3 linked regions of the Drosophila melanogaster genome follow. The protein of the gene in region 3 interacts with the protein of the main gene of each other region in a pairwise test. Each region holds a gene or a part of one and is shown on either strand. Other genes may lie near its edges.

What was found.
Region 1: the proteins of tai (region 3) and Met interact in a two-hybrid assay, tested with the Drosophila melanogaster proteins (one study listed by BioGRID).
Region 2: the proteins of tai (region 3) and gce interact in a two-hybrid assay, tested with the Drosophila melanogaster proteins (one study listed by BioGRID).

The regions. Positions count from the first base shown.
Region 1 is NC_004354.4:11,614,033-11,621,799, reverse strand, and holds Met (Methoprene-tolerant), read right to left. Parts: upstream 5,677-7,767; 5' UTR 4,933-5,676; coding exon 3,640-4,932; intron 3,571-3,639; coding exon 2,713-3,570; 3' UTR 520-2,712; downstream 1-519. Other genes in the region: RPA3 (replication protein A3), read left to right, coding at 6,046-6,282, 6,354-6,455; CG1703 (uncharacterized protein), read right to left, coding at 6,845-7,767.
Region 2 is NC_004354.4:15,296,011-15,300,846, reverse strand, and holds the start of gce (germ cell-expressed bHLH-PAS), read right to left. Parts: upstream 3,082-4,836; 5' UTR 2,911-3,081; intron 2,811-2,910; exon of another isoform or gene 2,630-2,810; intron 1,839-2,629; exon of another isoform or gene 1,264-1,838; intron 339-1,263; exon of another isoform or gene 225-338; intron 1-224. Other genes in the region: CG5877 (uncharacterized protein), read right to left, coding at 4,294-4,836.
Region 3 is NT_033779.5:9,165,148-9,169,878, reverse strand, and holds the start of tai (taiman), read right to left. Parts: upstream 3,102-4,731; 5' UTR 2,441-3,101; intron 1-2,440. Other genes in the region: CG9586 (uncharacterized protein), read left to right, coding at 3,495-3,656, 3,715-3,936, 4,007-4,279; CG13108 (uncharacterized protein), read right to left, coding at 4,659-4,731.

The sequences.
Region 1 (7,767 bases), on a different chromosome or scaffold from region 3:
TAAATACAATTAAATTTGTTGCACTTGATTCTTTTTAACGTGAACCAAGCATTGCGGCAGTAGTACTTCGGCCATTACAAGTCCGAGCTCCGTAATTCTTATTATTCAATTACTCACACAAAATGTTAGTCCAAATGGACATCTGAGCCATGGGCTTAGTGAGCCAAGGCGATAGGCTGTATATGTGTACCCAGACAGCATGCACAGCGAAATGTTAACAAAGAAAACATTTAATATTTTATTATTTATCCCGCGCAAAACCGATCTGACCAAACTCAAGGTGTTTTTTGTTTCCGAATGCAATCGATTATAATCGATAGTTCAAACTCACCTCTGAGGGGAGTTAATTCGCCGTTATTCGGCTGCAATGCGTGCGCGCAAGGCAGATATAATGTGGCGCGCATTTCAAATCAGCTTATAAAAAAGTGTAACATTCCAACTCCTGAAAATAGGAAGTAACTTCATTGATTGAAAACACTTCCATCTTCTTTTATATAATTTATTATTTATTAAGGTTTCATTTGCATGAACTGTTACTGGTTATTATAATTAATTATTGTTAATTACAGGCTATGTTTTAATTGCTAGAGATTAGCAAGTTCTAAAAATTACATTACACATTATTATTCTTATACAGAGTATACCTCTTGACATTTGACATTACAGTTAAAACTAAATTACTAAAAAAAAACAATTCAAACTTTCATTTTTATTTGGACATATAACAACGCAAGGAAAACAAACAAAAATTAAATGAAAGGATAAGCCAAAAGTGTTTAAAGAGCACAACTCGTTTGAACAAACACTGAACGATTCGCTGGGGAATTAGCATTGGACTTTTAATTTAATTACACACTAGACAAACCGAGTTATAATTAAAAATACAAACAAAAAATTGAGCTAAACGAAAAGTTAATAGCATATATGTATGCATACATTTATAGCTAGAGGAATTTCGCTATAAAACAAAAAATAACGAAACGTGTTCCCCCCCGCCTCCCGCCTTCTCTGCGCCCATCACCAACCGCCGTTCCCCCAAACCCCCCGAAACCACCCACCGCCTCATATTTACCACTAGAACCACTTGGCCGAAAAAAAAATCATATATTCCCTCCGATACGCCGGTGATAAGAACGCAACGCCAAGGACAATGGCAAAGGCTTTGATAACAGGTCGGAGCGAGATGGGAATATGTCTCGCTCCCTTTCTGTGAGTATTGAACTACAGCCAAACTTCGCTAGTACGAACTTCAAAAACACTTTGAAATTTCAACTTAATCATATTTTGTCCAGTAGACATTATAGAAGTGTAACATAGATCAATTAAAATGATTATATTGTATTTAGCGGATTGGATTTTGGATGACAAACTTTTTTTTTAATTTTGAACACATTTGTAATAACTACAAAGTTTATAAGGATATGGATTTGGGGTATGCTTATATGCTTTGTAAAGTTCCCAAAATTAAAACTGTTGAAAAATAAAGCTGCGCCTGGAAGTGTTTTTATAGATTACAAAGGGATATCGAAGGAGATTTGTGATATAAATATATATACATAAATATATATATATAAAAATAATATGCTATTCTTCATAAAATAAAAAACCTTTAATAAAGTCTCCAATTCTGAGACTGAAGAGTTTGACTTGGATTAGTTTGACTGTACATATGTAGTCCTCTTTCTTTCTTCGAGCGAGACGGCAAAACTAAAAGCGAGCGTTTAATTTCCATCGATTGCAACATCCGTTTGTTTAACTATTAATGAGTTGTGTTTAGCACGTTCTAGACTTAGGGCGAAATAAATATATAATTGTTTGTTTGTTTTTCTATTTTCTTTTCTTTTTTTTTTTGTACTCTTTTTACACTGGTGTTTTGGGGCGGAAGGTGATAACTGGGAAATCGGGGAAATGGGGTTTAAATTTCAACTAAAACCAAATCCGAGCACTGATCTAATGTTCATTCACACCCATGCTGACACGATCACAAACTCACTCACGCTCGCACTCATACATATTTACAAATTAAACGTAATTACATAACGAAAATTATTGATAATGGAACGCATTTAGCAGCACCCACCGATCGCCATTCATCAATATAACATGTAATCAAACTACTATTTTATACCGAAATCACACACAGAAACAGTAATGGCCAAATGTACCCAAAATGTATCGCTTATGTTTTGAGAAAACGATTATCGTGATCAGATCATTATTACTGTCATAATATCAAAATAAATGCGAGCTCATATTGCATTTTCATCAAATGAAACCACGTTAATTTCGTTTTTAATACGGAAACCCTATAGATCAATTGAAGTCGAAAAGTACGTAGAAAGCGAAAATCACGGAAAGTCTCATATTAAATTACACAATTGCTTGATTTGTTAATAGCTTTTGTAAAGCCAACTCATTATACATATGTGTATACTGAAAATTAAAATTGTTTGATTGCTCAAAGCTTGGAAATGTGAATATGAAAACAAAAGGTTTTTCAACCCACGCTCTTTTTTTTCGTTTTTAAGTTTTTTGGCTGAATTTTTAAACTATTTGAATAATGCTCGTTTTTTTCTGATACATTTTGGGTTTTCATTTTGCGATTGGCCAGGATTATATTACCGATACTAATTCGTTTGTGGGCACGTGAGCTACCAATGACGTCCATTTCCACACACCCAATTAGAAGGCAAACCAGGTTCCATCAGCCCGTCATCGCAGCGTGCTGGTCAGGGTTCGATGCAGGACACTGGGACGTGTGTGGAGCGACGGTGGCGGTGATGTGTTGCTGTGCGGATCGGGCGTGTCCGGTGCTTCGCTGGCACTCAAGCTACTGGCTGGTGATAGGATACAGGATGCCGTTTCCGCCTCGCTTAGGCAGCTGCTCAGTTGCCGGATCACGCCCTGCGTGGAGTTGGTGCGCTCCTTAAGCTGCTCACGGTCACGTTCACGCTGCTTCTGATGCTCCTGCTGAAACTTTCTGGCCGCCGTCACATTGACCACACTCACCGACTTGGAGATGGAGCTCTTGACCGATGAGGGAGCCGGCGGCACCAAGGCCAAGGCGGGCGTGGGCGAGGGAGCTAACTCCTCGAGAGTTAAGGTATTTGCTGGCGAACTGTAGCCATCGTCCATTAGGCTTTCCATGCCCTGGCCGCCAACCGTCTCTGCTGAATCCACACTCTTCTGTAGGTTCTCTATTAGATAGAGGACAATTCTCTCAAGTTGCTGCGGTGCCTGCGAGGCGGGCAAATCGGGACTGCTGCTCTGCGTGGGCATCTCCGCCTTGATGATTGTCGAGAATTTCTCCTTCATCTCCTGCACCTTTTGCCGGCCCGCCTCCTCATCGAGCAGCGTGTTGACGCACAGAAAGGAATGCACCTTATTACTGCCACGGTCGACCTCCAGAAATCCCTTGGTGTGCAGGTAAATGAAGCGCCCGTTGCGGGACAGCAGACGGTAGCAGCTCTCGCCGTAGTCACTGTTGCAATCGTACATTTGTCGAAGGGCCACAATCACCCAGCGAACGTCGTCCAGGTGCATGAAACAGAAGGGACTAAGGTTGCGCACCTGTTTCGAGTGGAGAGTACACGATTAGTTGTCGTAAGCAGTTCAGAGAGATGATGTTAATATACCCACCTCATCCTTCATATATCCCGCCACCAGACCAATCCTTTGATCACAGTCGATGATGCTGCCGTCGATTAGATGCCTCGTATGGTACTCCAACTGATAGGGTTCTGGCTGTCTGTAAATGGTCAAGCCCACTGTACCCTCCGTCTCCTCAGGCGGCCGTTCCTCTCGCAGCACCCTGGCCATGGCCACCAGGACAATATCATTGCCGCTAATCCCGTGCAGCGCCGCCTGGGCAATGGCATCGTGCTGGGGCGGCACCGTCGCCGCTTCTGCTGCCACTGCTGCAGCAGCAGCCAGCATATTGTTGTTTCTCGAGCGTCGTATCAGCTGGGAGACAATCGGATAGTTGGCAGCGGCACCTCCGGTTAAGGAGGAGTCACTGCGACGAAAGCAGCCATCGATCTTAACCCGCTCGTAATGACGCGTGGCCTCCGCTCGCGTGGAAGCCCTAGCCAAGCGGACGGTAAAGCAGCGCCGATCCATGCGTAGTCGGTCATCAATGGTCGCCAAATGGGCCATTCTCCGCGGGCTGGGTGTTCGTCGGTTGTACGGGTGATCCTCGTCATCGTCCGCCTCTCCCTGCTGCCGACCCAGACGGTGTTCCTCCGTCTCCATTTCCTCCTCCTCCAGATCACTGCCCGAAGTTGAGGCCGACGTGGAAGTGGAGTGCTGCTGGGGATTGTGCCCCTGCTGCTGGTGGTGCTGATGCTGATAGAACAGGGTCTCTATATCCCTGGGTATTAGCTGCTGTCTTAACAGATCCTGATCATCGGGATGCGTGATCTGCAGTAGATTCTGGCCATACAAATCGGACTGACAGTGACCCAATAGCTGCTCCACGCTGGTGGATACCAAAACGATTTGGCCACTGCAGGTTAGGGTGAGGAAGCAGCAGTCCAGCAGTTGCATTAGAGTGTCCGTTAGATGCAGACTGGGATTGGGTAGATCTCCGACAGGTGAGGCAGACATACCCGTTCCCTTGAGGCCGGTTTTCTTGCGACGTCTGGAAGCGGACTTGCCAAAGACATACTGAAGTCTCAGGCCATGGGTGGCGAATCTAAGGACGGCGGTTTTGTCCAGGCGACGGGAGGATTCGGCTGCATGTGGTACCATGGTGGCCAGCTCCTGGATGCTGGCATTAAGCTTATCCCGTCGCTGTTTTTCGGCAAGGTTACGGGCCTCCCGTCCATTCGCTGGATCTGAGGAGCTCCCACTTCCCGATCCCGATCCCGATCCCGATCCTGTCGAGCCAGCGGATCCTGTGGAGCCCGTGTTGCCCGTCTCTGGTGCTGCCATTTTGGACTTTTTGGGCGTTTTCTGGAGTTACTGCCTCCTTGTTTTCCACTTGTAATCCTCGATTTATGGATTTTCCCCTTTAATTGGCGCCTTGCGGTAAATGAAAATCGTCACTCTCCATAACAGGGTGTACGCTCCGCACTTCTAGAATTGTTATTATGGAAATTTTTCGGCTAAAATATATTTTTTATTACTTTTGCAGCTTTTAGTTTCTTATTTTTGGCTGTTGTCTTGTTTTTTTTGCTGCTTTTAAAGTTTTCAAGGTCTCGCTTATGCTGTGCTGTTGTTTTTGTTTTTGCTCGCCTCCCCTCTCTCGCTCACTCTCCTTCGCTCACTGACACACACACACACACGTCACTCTCACGCAACGTACATATGTTTTCTCTTTTCGCTTTCGTACTTTTCCACTTGCTTTTAGTCTTATTATTACTATTATTTGCTTCCCTATTTATTTATGCGTTTCGCCTTGTAGTTTTTTATTTTTCGTTTTTTTTTTACGTTTTGATTGCGTTGCGAATCTGAATCTCCTGCTTATTGTTGTTGCTGTTGCTGGTGGCGTTGTTGTTGTTGCGATTTAATGCCCGCAATAAGGAAATTCGGAGGGCGGCGGTCGTTTTAACAACGCACTTGCTGCTTGCACTTATTTTTGTTTATACTAAGTGATTAATTGTTTATTTGTAACATTTATTTTATAACAATAAACATTGGCCAGTCTAAAAACTATCGATACATCGATGTAACTGGTTGTCGTACTAAAATTCGCACGTTCACACCGGACAAAATATCAGAAAGATTCGAACATCTTGTTCGCTGTCGATAACATTGTTGTAATACATGTAATCTATCAGGTCTTTTTATAATTCTATTATAAATTATTTTTATTAATTCTTATTATAATACATAAGTCCACAGTAATAATGTAATAACTTTTGATGTTACAATAAATCCATAAATATTTTTGCTACAAAATTCGAATAATTTCGATAGCAGACGTCATGCAATTTTATTATCGATTAGCACGCTCGATAACTATTGGCGCTCTTTCTTGTTTACGGCATTTCATTTTCTGCTGAAATTGGCTGTTTTTTGAACGTTATTAACTGAGGAGTTATTATGGATGCCTTTGATCCACGCTCGATTATCAACGGCGGCATGCTGAAGCAGTTTTCCGGCCAAACCGTGAGCATAATGGTTCGCGTGGAGAGCGTCGCGGGATCCACTTTGCTGGCCAGTTCCACAGACAACCACAAGCTAAAGATCAATCTGCCGGGTGAGCTGGGCGCCGCCGAAGGGGCCTGGGTCGAGGTCATTGGAGTGCCCCATGGTGCGGACACCCTCAGGGCCAAGGAGGTGGGTGCACTCAATCCATGGAGTCATTTATTTCAATGATCCCAAACCATTTGCCCACTATTCATTTGCAGGTCATCGAGTTTGGCGGCGAGAACATCGACTTCGATAAGGATGGCTATAATGGATTGAGCCACCTGATTAACAATGTCAAGGCCTTCTATCGCAGCGGCTAGGATGTCCACAATTATATCTAAGAATTAATATTATGTACTCTAATGTTATTTTTTCCATTTTTTTGGAGAACACTCAGAGCTGGCATTAACTTTAAATATAAATCATCTATCTACATATATTACGAGTACAATTTACGGGTGTTTTAACCAGTTCCACGTATATTCTACAACAAATACTTAATACCCACAATTTAATAACATAAACAACACATTCTTAAACGCTCTTGTGTAATAACATTTACTTCCACAATTTGTTATTGTATATATGTTGGTATAAAAAGACTAACTAGCAGATAATCAATTCAACAGTTGAACAATTAACATAGGGCGAGCCAGCTGACGAGTGATGACCAGTTGCATGGACTCCAAGTCCGTATGCAACTTGAGGGTTATTGCAGCACAGCCGCATTGGCCACCACGCTAGGATTGTTGACCACCTCGCCGAGCGAATCGAGAACCTCCTTTCTGTAGTCATCGAACTCTCCAACAATCTCGTTGATCGTCTGATCCTCAATTACGTAGAGAGTGCAACCTGTTTCACGGATCAAACGCTCGTCGTGGGAGACGATGATCACGCCACCCTCGTACTCGTTGATTGCCTCCGCCAAGGCGTCGATACTCTCGATGTCCAGATTGTTCGTAGGCTCATCGAGAATTAGTACATCCGGCGCACTCAAGCATAGCTCAGCGAGGGCCACACGGGCTTTCTGACCACCGGACAGATCCTTCATCTTGATGGTGTGTGCATGACTGACCAAACCAAAGGAACCCAATGCCTTACGCGCCTTTTCGTGGGGCAGATTGAACAGACGCTGCAGGTACTCTGCAGCCGATTCCTCTGCCGTGAGATGTTCACCTGAGTGCTGATCGAAGCGGCCCACATGAAGTCGGTGATTCTTGCGCTGCTCACCCTCCTGCGGTTCCAATTCACCGAGCAGCAGCTTGAGGAAGGTTGATTTGCCCACACCATTGGGTCCCACGATGGCCACTCGACTAGTTAGATCAATGCCAAAGTCAACCTTGATGAACAGCGGTTTCTGGCTCGGAAAGGCGAAGGTGACATTGTGGACACCCAGAATGGGTGGCTGGAGCTGCGATGGCTCCGGGAAGCGGAACTTGACAATATATTCCTTGGGCCTGGCCAACAGCTCCTGAGGTCCCTCATCCTCGTCCTGTTTCTGCTGCTTAGACTTGTTCTTCTCCTGCTTGCGTGTGAGCGATTCCTTCTGCTTCTTTTCCGCTGCCTTCTTCGACTGACCGTGGGCCTTCAGCTCGCGCAGGCGCTTCTCCTGCTTCTCGTACTCCTTGATCA
Region 2 (4,836 bases), on a different chromosome or scaffold from region 3:
CATCATCATAACCATCATCACCATCGGCAACAGCACACAGAAAACCTTGAGAGCAGCAGCAAAGCAGCCGAACAAAAAACAAAAATTGGAAAGAAAAAACCAAACCGAATAGCAAAAAAAAAAAAAACAGAAAAAAAACACTTTTATTGATCGGAACTCGGAACTGGTAAATCATTGAAAAATTGTTGCCAACAAATACCTGATGCTGGGCTATTTATATTTACTTTTATTGCTATTATCATCCAAAGCTCAGTTCCATCGCACTCTTTCCATGCTGCCCACAAGTTCAAGGGAGGCTAAGAACCCATCATAAAGTGCTCCGCCATATAACATCTATATTCATTGGAATCCGTTGATCTTCGCACACCCATTAAAGCGCAGATCTGGAATTTTGGCCATAATCACACTTCCCGCTTTCGTGCTTTTTGGGTATGCCGAAGTCGAGAGACTCGAGTTCTTCACGCTTGTTTTGTTTTTCTGTTTTTTCTTTTCTTATTAAAAAATTAAATAAGTCGAAAAAAGAAACTGGAAATTCATTAATATGTTAATTTTATTTGTCTTGCCTCATTGATTGTGTCGATGCGAATGTGATAGTTTTTTTTTTGTATGCATTTGTATGTGTTTGTGGATGGGCAAACACGTTAATGTTGGCTAAGCAGATTTTCGAAGGATGACAAACACAGACAGTGGGAATGTTTTTCGTAAATCGAAACTTTTCCCAACTCAACAAAAAACTGAATCGTTCTCGGGTTTCGATCGCGCAAAAATGCGCGCACGCGCCGCTGATTTCAGCACATATGCTCGTACTCGTAGGCTACACCATATAAAACCAATTCTCTGCACAAGAAAACATCGAAATCAGTGAACAAAAACGGAAATGAAACAGGATCACAAGAGTACCAAAAGTACTCTGATCAACAGCATCTAATGCCGCGCACTCAACAATACACCAACAACGGTTCACCAACAGCTGCTAAGCTCGAACGTTTCAACAATATTAATTTTGCGCTTGGTGGTTGGTCGGTTGTTGAAACTATATCTACACTCCAATGCACCAACGTAGAGCACAAAAAAATACTTGTTCAAGCTTGTTCAACAACACACCAACAGCGGTATTTAAGCCCCATTGGGCTTATGAATATACATACTAGTCGTATAATAGGATAATTGGAGTTTTTCATACACCAACGTTTGGTTGTTGAAACTGTCCAACTGGAAGATAGCCCTATAATTACTATATGATTTAAGGTCACCGCCATCTACCTTTTTGATAATATTTCCCCTCGAGCGCGTTTTTGGTTTGTTGTTTCAAACTTTTTTTTTTACACTATAGCACAAGCACTGGCACAAAACACACACACGCAAACAAAAAAAAAGGCGGGGGGGTTGTCAAAACGAAGTTTGTTTGTTGCCTGTTTTATTTCGGTTTTAATTCCTCGTTTTGTTTTTTATTTTATTTTTTTTTTCAACTTTTATATGGGGCTCTGGGGGGCACTGTTTGATAATCCAATTCCATTCGTTAACGCGGCGCCATTTACGTTGCTCGAGCGTGTTCTTTGCATTTTAGCAGCGGCGGCGACCACGAAAAAGGCAAGTTGAAAGAGAAGGAAACTCGCACAATCGCTCACACACGTACGCAGAGCCAAAGAAACATTCAGATACAAATGCGAAATACGAATATACTCATAAAAAAAAAATAAAAAATAATAATAAATACGAAACAGCGACGGCTGGCGAACCGAATTCGAACTCCAAGCTCCAAGCGAACCGAACGAACACCAAGCGGACCAAGCGAACGTCGCGACGCGTCCGTCCGTACCGCTACAGAAACAAAAATTAATTACATATATTGAAATCACAAACTAAACTAATCAGCCAGACGACGAGCGGAGCAGCGACGGCGGCAGCGGCAACGGCAGCGGAGAGCCGAGCCGAGCGCGAATCAGCTGCCCGGAAAGCTAACGCTCCACTCACGCTCCACTCCGCTCCCGCTCCCGCTCTAGGTGCCGCTGCCCCAAAGAAGCAGAAATGGCAGGGAAAAGAGCGTGAAAGATGAAATATACAATAAAAGCTTCGCTCGTCACCGACAGCGGTGCGACAGAGATGGCGATTGGCCAAACGCCCACCAGCAGCGAGTGTGAGCGAGAGCGCAGCAACAACCTGCGTTGGAAAGCTGGCGAGACCTTGACTAAGGTTTCCGGCCGGGAAACCCTCGGCGAGTTCATGCTCACCCAGTACACCGGGAAAAAAGAAAACGTTGCTAAAACTAGAGTTTTGCACAAAAAATCACTTGAATCTCCTCTGTTTATAACAATCTCCAAGGAAGCATTATATAATAATAATAATAAGCTATCAATTATTTTGATTACACTTATCTGTAATAAATTTAGTAATATTTGAGTTATAGATTTGGAAATCTGAGATAAAGATGCTTAAAAAATATGCAAACTGTCACGAATCGCATGCTCGCAAACTGGTTTTCCCCACATTTTCTAGCAGTGCACATTGACTCTCTGCGCTCTCTGTCTCTATCGTTTTCTCATTTTCTGAGTTTCCTCTCTGAAAAGCTTTTCCCCTTTGCTAGAGTAGAGCCGCAAAAGAAGGTTGGTGTTTAGTCTACGAACTTGACGCTGGCGTCTTACACAATGCTGCTTCTTCTTGCTTCTGCTCTACACCAACACAGAGACATCGCAGCACACACACCCAAACAGGAAGAGAAACACACACACACACACGACTTAGAACGGGGGAGCACTCTCAAAAAAATTACACTCGCTATCGAAACGAAATGGAACAAAAAACACTCGGCCGTTATAGCGATATATACATATATATATATATATGTATGTATATATTATTATATATGGATTGGCCTGATACTGGCCAGATATTCCGAGCTCTAGCACTAACCTAGGAACTGGAAACGGTCTGGAGTGCCTGGGAAACCTTGAGAGGAGACTCCGCCGCCATGAGACTAGGGACTACGGAGACGCCACTTGGCCAAACGGGCCGCTTCCACTGCAGCAACGGCCGATGCGGAGCGACAACGCGTCGTGGGACTTGGACAGATGCCGACCGACTGCCATCGATGAAGCCCGGTCCAAAGATGTCGGATGGGTGGACGAGCAGGCGAACAGACGGACGTGCGAATGGACAGCAGCCAGGACTCTCGCGCTCAGACAGCTTTCGATGCGTTTCGGCGAGCGGAGCTTTTCATCCCCACTACCCCTCTGCCCAATCACAGCGTTTCCTCTCCCGATTTCCACGCTTTTCCAAAGAGCAACAGTAACGCACAGGAGTCTTAAGTGGCTGGGCAGACAGGGCGCATACGCAACATTCGAGACGAGTCAACACTCAGCCACAGCCGTCTCGCTCGCGCTCACGCAACTTGGCCACCACACTTGCGGTCACACAAACAGATCGCATACAAAATATCAATCATTTTATCGTCAATATCATTCATGTCATTTAATACAAATCCTTTAATGTGTACATATTAAATCTAAATTTATCAATATTTAACAAGTTAGCTGTTAAAACTACTCATAGCTAAATAGGAATATAAATATTTTTATTTGTAATTTACAAATGTAGAAAACTTCTTAATTTCTTTTGCATATTTAAATGATTTAATAAATTTAAATAAACAGAACCATAAACTATTTGCAATATATTTTAAATTTCAGTAATATAAAAATAAGCTATTTGCAATATATGTTTCATTTCAGCGATATGAAAATGACATAACAAATATGTTGTATTTAGTTCGTCTCACAGCTTCCAGGTGCTACAATTGCGACCTCAGGTGCGCAGTGATTCTTTCGGCGCTGTTTTGGCTTATGAGTTTTGTTCGGTTATCTTGCGATAAACACAATCAAAATAATAAACACAAGAAAATGCTGGATTCGGGGGGAGCGGATTGGCCAGAAGATGAAGTTGGACTAATCTCCGACATTCGATATGCGACTCTGGTTTCCTTGCACAGCAACGAGCGATAAAGTGTTGGAATTTTTTTTTAACATAATCGAACGGCGAGTATTTTTGAGTAGCAAAATCGCTAATTCTGAATTTGTTAGTGAGCCAATTCTGATAAGCGATTTAGGATATATGTAGTAAAATATGCATGTACGCATATAACTGCAAACAGCTTATCGCAATTTCGCCAGTTAACTTAAAGTTGAAGCAAACTTCAGAACTAGATTGTTTGAAGAAATAAATATATTTATGATGCGAACTTATCGAGTCGCCCGAATGGCAAATAACCTCAAAACAAACGAATAAAACCAAAGCGACTTAAAAGCCCCTCAAGACGTCCACTTCCTCGGGCATAGCGAAAATGCGAATCTCTTTTTCGGTCATCAGGTCCTGTAGCGATGCTAGTTTCACTGGCAAAACCTTGGCGCCTTCCATCAGTAGTGACTTGTCCCAGGGACACTCGTCCATGGCCATTATAAGGACTTCTTTGCTGCGCCTAAACGAGGCATTCGTTTTGGATAGGGCAATCATGTACAAGCGCCAATAGATGGAGTTCCTGCGCAGTATGCGATAATGCTCTTCCTCCACATCCAAACGATCTAAATTGGTCGGGAGAAAAGTCTCGACAATGCTGACCAAACGATTGCACACCATCTTCCTTGTGGCTTCCTTTGAAAACTTATCGTTGGTATCTACGATTCCAAAGCGATTGTGAATCGCAACGACCAAGTGCGCCAGTGAAGCGATGCCGGCTTTGGTGCGTATGAGCCGGCTACGCTGCTTGTGCCACATAATCGATTTTAAGCTGGCCCACAGCTGTAGAAACACCATATTTCGTGGAAACTCTTCGAGTCCATTCTC
Region 3 (4,731 bases):
TTCCATTCATCTAGACAATTTGTCAACGACATGGCAATGATACAGCGCACAAGGAAAAGCGACAGCGGGAAAAACAGTAGCCCTACTGTAGCAAAATGAAAATGTCAGCGGCAGCGGCAGCTGCTGTAGCAACAACAACGTGCCCCAATCCAACGAAATAGTTAAGTGGATACGAGAGGGCACAGTGAATGGAATCCATCAACCGCCCATGGTGATCCCCCCTACCACCTACCATCGTGGTATCCAACTGGCAGCCCAAGCCGACGAAGCCTTTCCAATCACATTACTGAGTGCCAGGCGATGTCCTCCGGGGCAAATGGGCTGGGTTTGGAAACCCAGGGAGCTACTTAGCATCCCAACTGGAAGAGATGAACCCTTCAGGAGACGAAAATCAAATGGAATGTAACAGATAGATTCCTTAAGATAACAGAAAACCCTTATCACAGCTCTATAGTTTGGAAAGATATTTTAATGAATTCTCGTGAAATAAGAATATATATACTTCATGGTTGTTATTTAAGTTAATCTTTTGAGGAATTGCAGCAAAATGAGAAGAACTTCATTTTGAATAAGTGTTAGCAACTCACTTGAATAATAAAGAAATAATAACAAATTTGTATGGCATACAGTACAGTTTCCATCAATACATGCCGCCTCTTTTTTCTTATTAAAAATTCAATGATCAGATAAATTTTCACATTTTTCCATAGCTCACCTTAATTTAAAGCGCATGCAGCAAATACTAAATACTTAAATTCGAAATACAAAAAGCACGCATATGTTTTCAGTCACACAACACGGAACCAGCGGCAAACTAAATAAGCAATGGTATTATAGAGATCACAGCCACACGCCCCACCAAGCAGCCATCGCCACTCCATACGGAATTAGCTCTCGCTTTCACTGTGGGTGGTCCTGGAAAATTCCACGAGCCACAAGAATGGAAAGCACTTTGCAGGATAAGCGCCCCGTGGCATCCTCGAAAAGACCAACCACCCCACGTTGTTGAATTGATTTTGCTATGTGAAGTGCAGCTTCACATATAAATTCCCTGCCAAATTGTTTTTTTTTTGTTTCTGCCATTGACTTGTTGCGTTTTCCATTTGATTGCCTGGCCGCAAGCCTGGGTTTATGATATGGAAATCAATTTAATTCATTCCCACAATTAGGGCCATGACTTTGGCCCACTGCAGCGGGCCAAAAGCAGAGCCATCGAGCAAATCTGCCATAAACCAGCGAACAAGAAATTCTTATGGGCGAGGGCGTGTCCACCAACTACCAACTGGCAGTTGAAAAGAGCCGTAAAACACAAGGAACCCCCAAAAGAAGAATGCGCACAGTGGGCCTAAAAAGGAAATAACAATGAATTCAAAAACATGAAAGGCAAGGAAAGTAATGAGTATTTTTGTATATTATATACAAACATAACAGCATTAACGGTTCAAACATTTTATATTAATTTTTTTTTTTAGTTTTATGGTATTTGATCCCACTGTGCTTTATTGCAAAATCGCAAGCAATGAAACGTGTGAATTTTATGAGCTCGCTGAAACTTAAATGGGTCTCCAATTTAATGACGAATTCTGCATTTTGGGAAAGAGAGAGCGCGAATTGTACGCAACAGAGCGAGATAGATGACGAAAAGCTGAGGTTTTATATATGTATGTACATTTTAGGCCGAAACATTCTTCGTTTTGCCGTGCTTTTCATTTTTCCGGTTTTCACCTTTCCGCTGCCGCTGAATCAGTCAAGACCGCCTGCCTTCCCCCCTCCCCCTTCTGGTGTCGTCTGCTCGCTGCCAGCGTCAATTACTTAATTTTAATGGCCTTTATTATGCATACCACAAACACAGAGGCGTTCGCCGAGGAGCGCTCGCATGAATATGCACACGGATTGGAAAGTGTAAAACACTCACATTAACAAGCCCATAAACAAACCTGGCTCATTAAAAAAAAACAGTCAACACAACTCGGGTTGCGGCCGCCGCAAGTCGATAGGCGAAGGAGCAAAGTGGGCGGAGGTCCTTGTGGGCGGCAGGATGCCAAGAATGTGGCAGGAGCCAACTCAATGTTGGCAGGAGGGGAGCCAGAGATCACACAGGCAACTCCAAAGCACTTCAAAAGTGCGCAAACATAAAGGTATCTCAAAAATGTATCATCTTAATTTTATATAATTTATTTGTTTTTGTAATTAATGAATAATTTATAACACATGCCTAACACATAAATATATGTAAATCCTAAGGCAATAACTAATTTTACTTATTTTCGAAAAAAAATATTCTTAGGAGATGGTTTTATATATGATATCGTTATCAATTAGCACGTCTTATTTTGACAATCAATCAATTTATGAAATCGCAGACCTGCCACAACTGGCATACATACATACATATGTATGATTGTACATATGTATGTATTTTCCGATGGATATCACTAACCTCAGGTTAACTTATCGAAGGGATTTCTCTCTGCCTCTTGTAAATCACGCACTAACATGGGGTTGTATGAATTTCGTTTGTATATATTCCACTTGTTGCCAACGGCACACGCGCGATTGTGTGTGTGTTGTGTGTGTGTGTGGGCGCTTTTCCTTCTTTACGACGCGACGCAACAACAAATAAACAAAAGCCGATGGCGACGACAGCGGCGACAGCAGCAACAGTAAAAATAACAACACAACTTTGGCGACAGCGACGCAGGTGTCGCAGACGTGTGACGTTGTTGCTGCAATTTGTTATTGTTGCTTTTGCTTTCGCTGTTTGCTGCGATGTGAGTTATCAGAAAATCACCAAACACACACGAACGCATAGGTAACACACACACACACACGAGCGCACATTTACGCACAAAACCGTACAAGTATTTCAGTCAAAAGAAACAAACAATTTGTTTATAAGTTTAATTGATCCATTTCACGCCTTTAGCTGTGTCACAAGACTTCTTGTTGTATGACAATAAGAGATGGCAGGCCAGATAGAATATCTTTTAATTCTGACAGAGTTTCAATAGCACAGCAGTTAATATTTCGTTTTCAAACAAAAAGCGTAATTTTTTAATCGGCAAACAACTAAAAGGTGTGCGGGTATTTACCAACACTGCGGCAACAGCTGTTCGCTGGTAGTTAACAGTTGGCTAACAGTAGTGTTCAGGTGTCAGTGTTGCCAGCAACAAGTTTGGAAAATATTAATGTAAATAATAATTATTAAAATAGAAAGACCAATTAATAAACTTGTGAATTTACCTAATATATATAATATTCTATTTCTAAAAATTCTATTTCAGTAAAATGATTGTATTTTCTGTTAAACTTTCTTTTTCCAGTCAGTTGGCAGTGCTACTGCAGCAGCTGTTCCGCTGTCAACGCTCACCAACACTGCGCCACATGCTCCACAAATTTTTTTGTTGCCTTTTGCGGCTGATTTGTCACTGCCAGAGTTTATTCCGCAAATAAAATCCTCTATACATGATATTTAAATCAAATACCGAGTAACCATGAGCGCCACGGATGACTTCCAGAGCTGGCTCAACGAGCAGCTGCGCAAATTGAACACCGACGAGAACGTTTTCGGTTCGTATATTATTGGAATTTTGGAGGGCGACGAAACGACAGATGAAAAAACCGAGGCTCTCGAGGGAATTCTCAGCGAAACAGGTGTAAGTTATGGTTAGTAATATCATTGCCTACATAAATTATGGTCCGTGATCTTTGCAGTCCGCCAACATTGACGAACTGGTGGCCACCATACTACAAAAGTGGCTACAGAGCCATCCCAGCGCCGATGATCCGCCGAAAAAAGGTCTGGATATCGATGTGAATGCCCAGTTGGCCAAGTTGCTGGAGCAACAGAAGCTGCAACCCGCCGTAAACAAGGAGCGTGAATACACCGAAGAGGAGCGTCGCATCAAGCAGCAGATTCTAGCTCAATACTCCCAGGTTGCTATCCATGCTGGCCAAGCTGCTGATTCCAGATATCTATTACTAGCTTTAAAGTAGAAGTATCTAGTATCTAATGACAATGCCAATCTTTTTGCAGACTGCCGTTGCCAACGAGGACGACGAGAATTCCGAGGCGGAAAGCGAGGATGACAGTGGAACGCTCACCAAGAATACCAACAAATCGGATGTCCAGGCGCTAGCCAAGGAAAAGCGGGAGCAGGCCCGAATGGATAGTGCGGCCAAAAAGCAAAAGGACAAAGAGGATCGGGAAAAGCAAAAGCAACTGCGCGAGGAAAAGAAGGAGAAACGCAAAACCGTCAAAGGCGAACGGCGTCGATAACCGTCCCCAAGCGAATATTTTTAGACTCTTTCTATTAAAAACAACAAACAACAAATCTGTACAAAGTGCATTTCGCTTGAATGTTTGCATGTTTGCCTAAAGCGAAGTAAACTTTGAAGAGATCTACCGAACTGTTGAATATAAATGTATTAAAATTGAAACGCCAAGATTTTAATTTGATATTTTCAAATGTTTTCCTTTTGATTTCCTTTTTTTTTCTTAGTTTCTTTAATTTTCTAAATTAAATTTAATGCTGTTTTCACATAGCTGTTACAAGGAAATTTGTTGTTTAACCCTAACTTGGCCAACTAGTTGTAAATACTAATGAAAATGTTAGTTTTGTGTATAATTAGTAGTTGTTTTTTTTTTAAGAATCAGCTTAATTTTGCTTATCCTCCTCCGCCTCCAAAGTATCTTCTTTGTCCGATGTCGTTTTCTTATTTCGCTCTGAT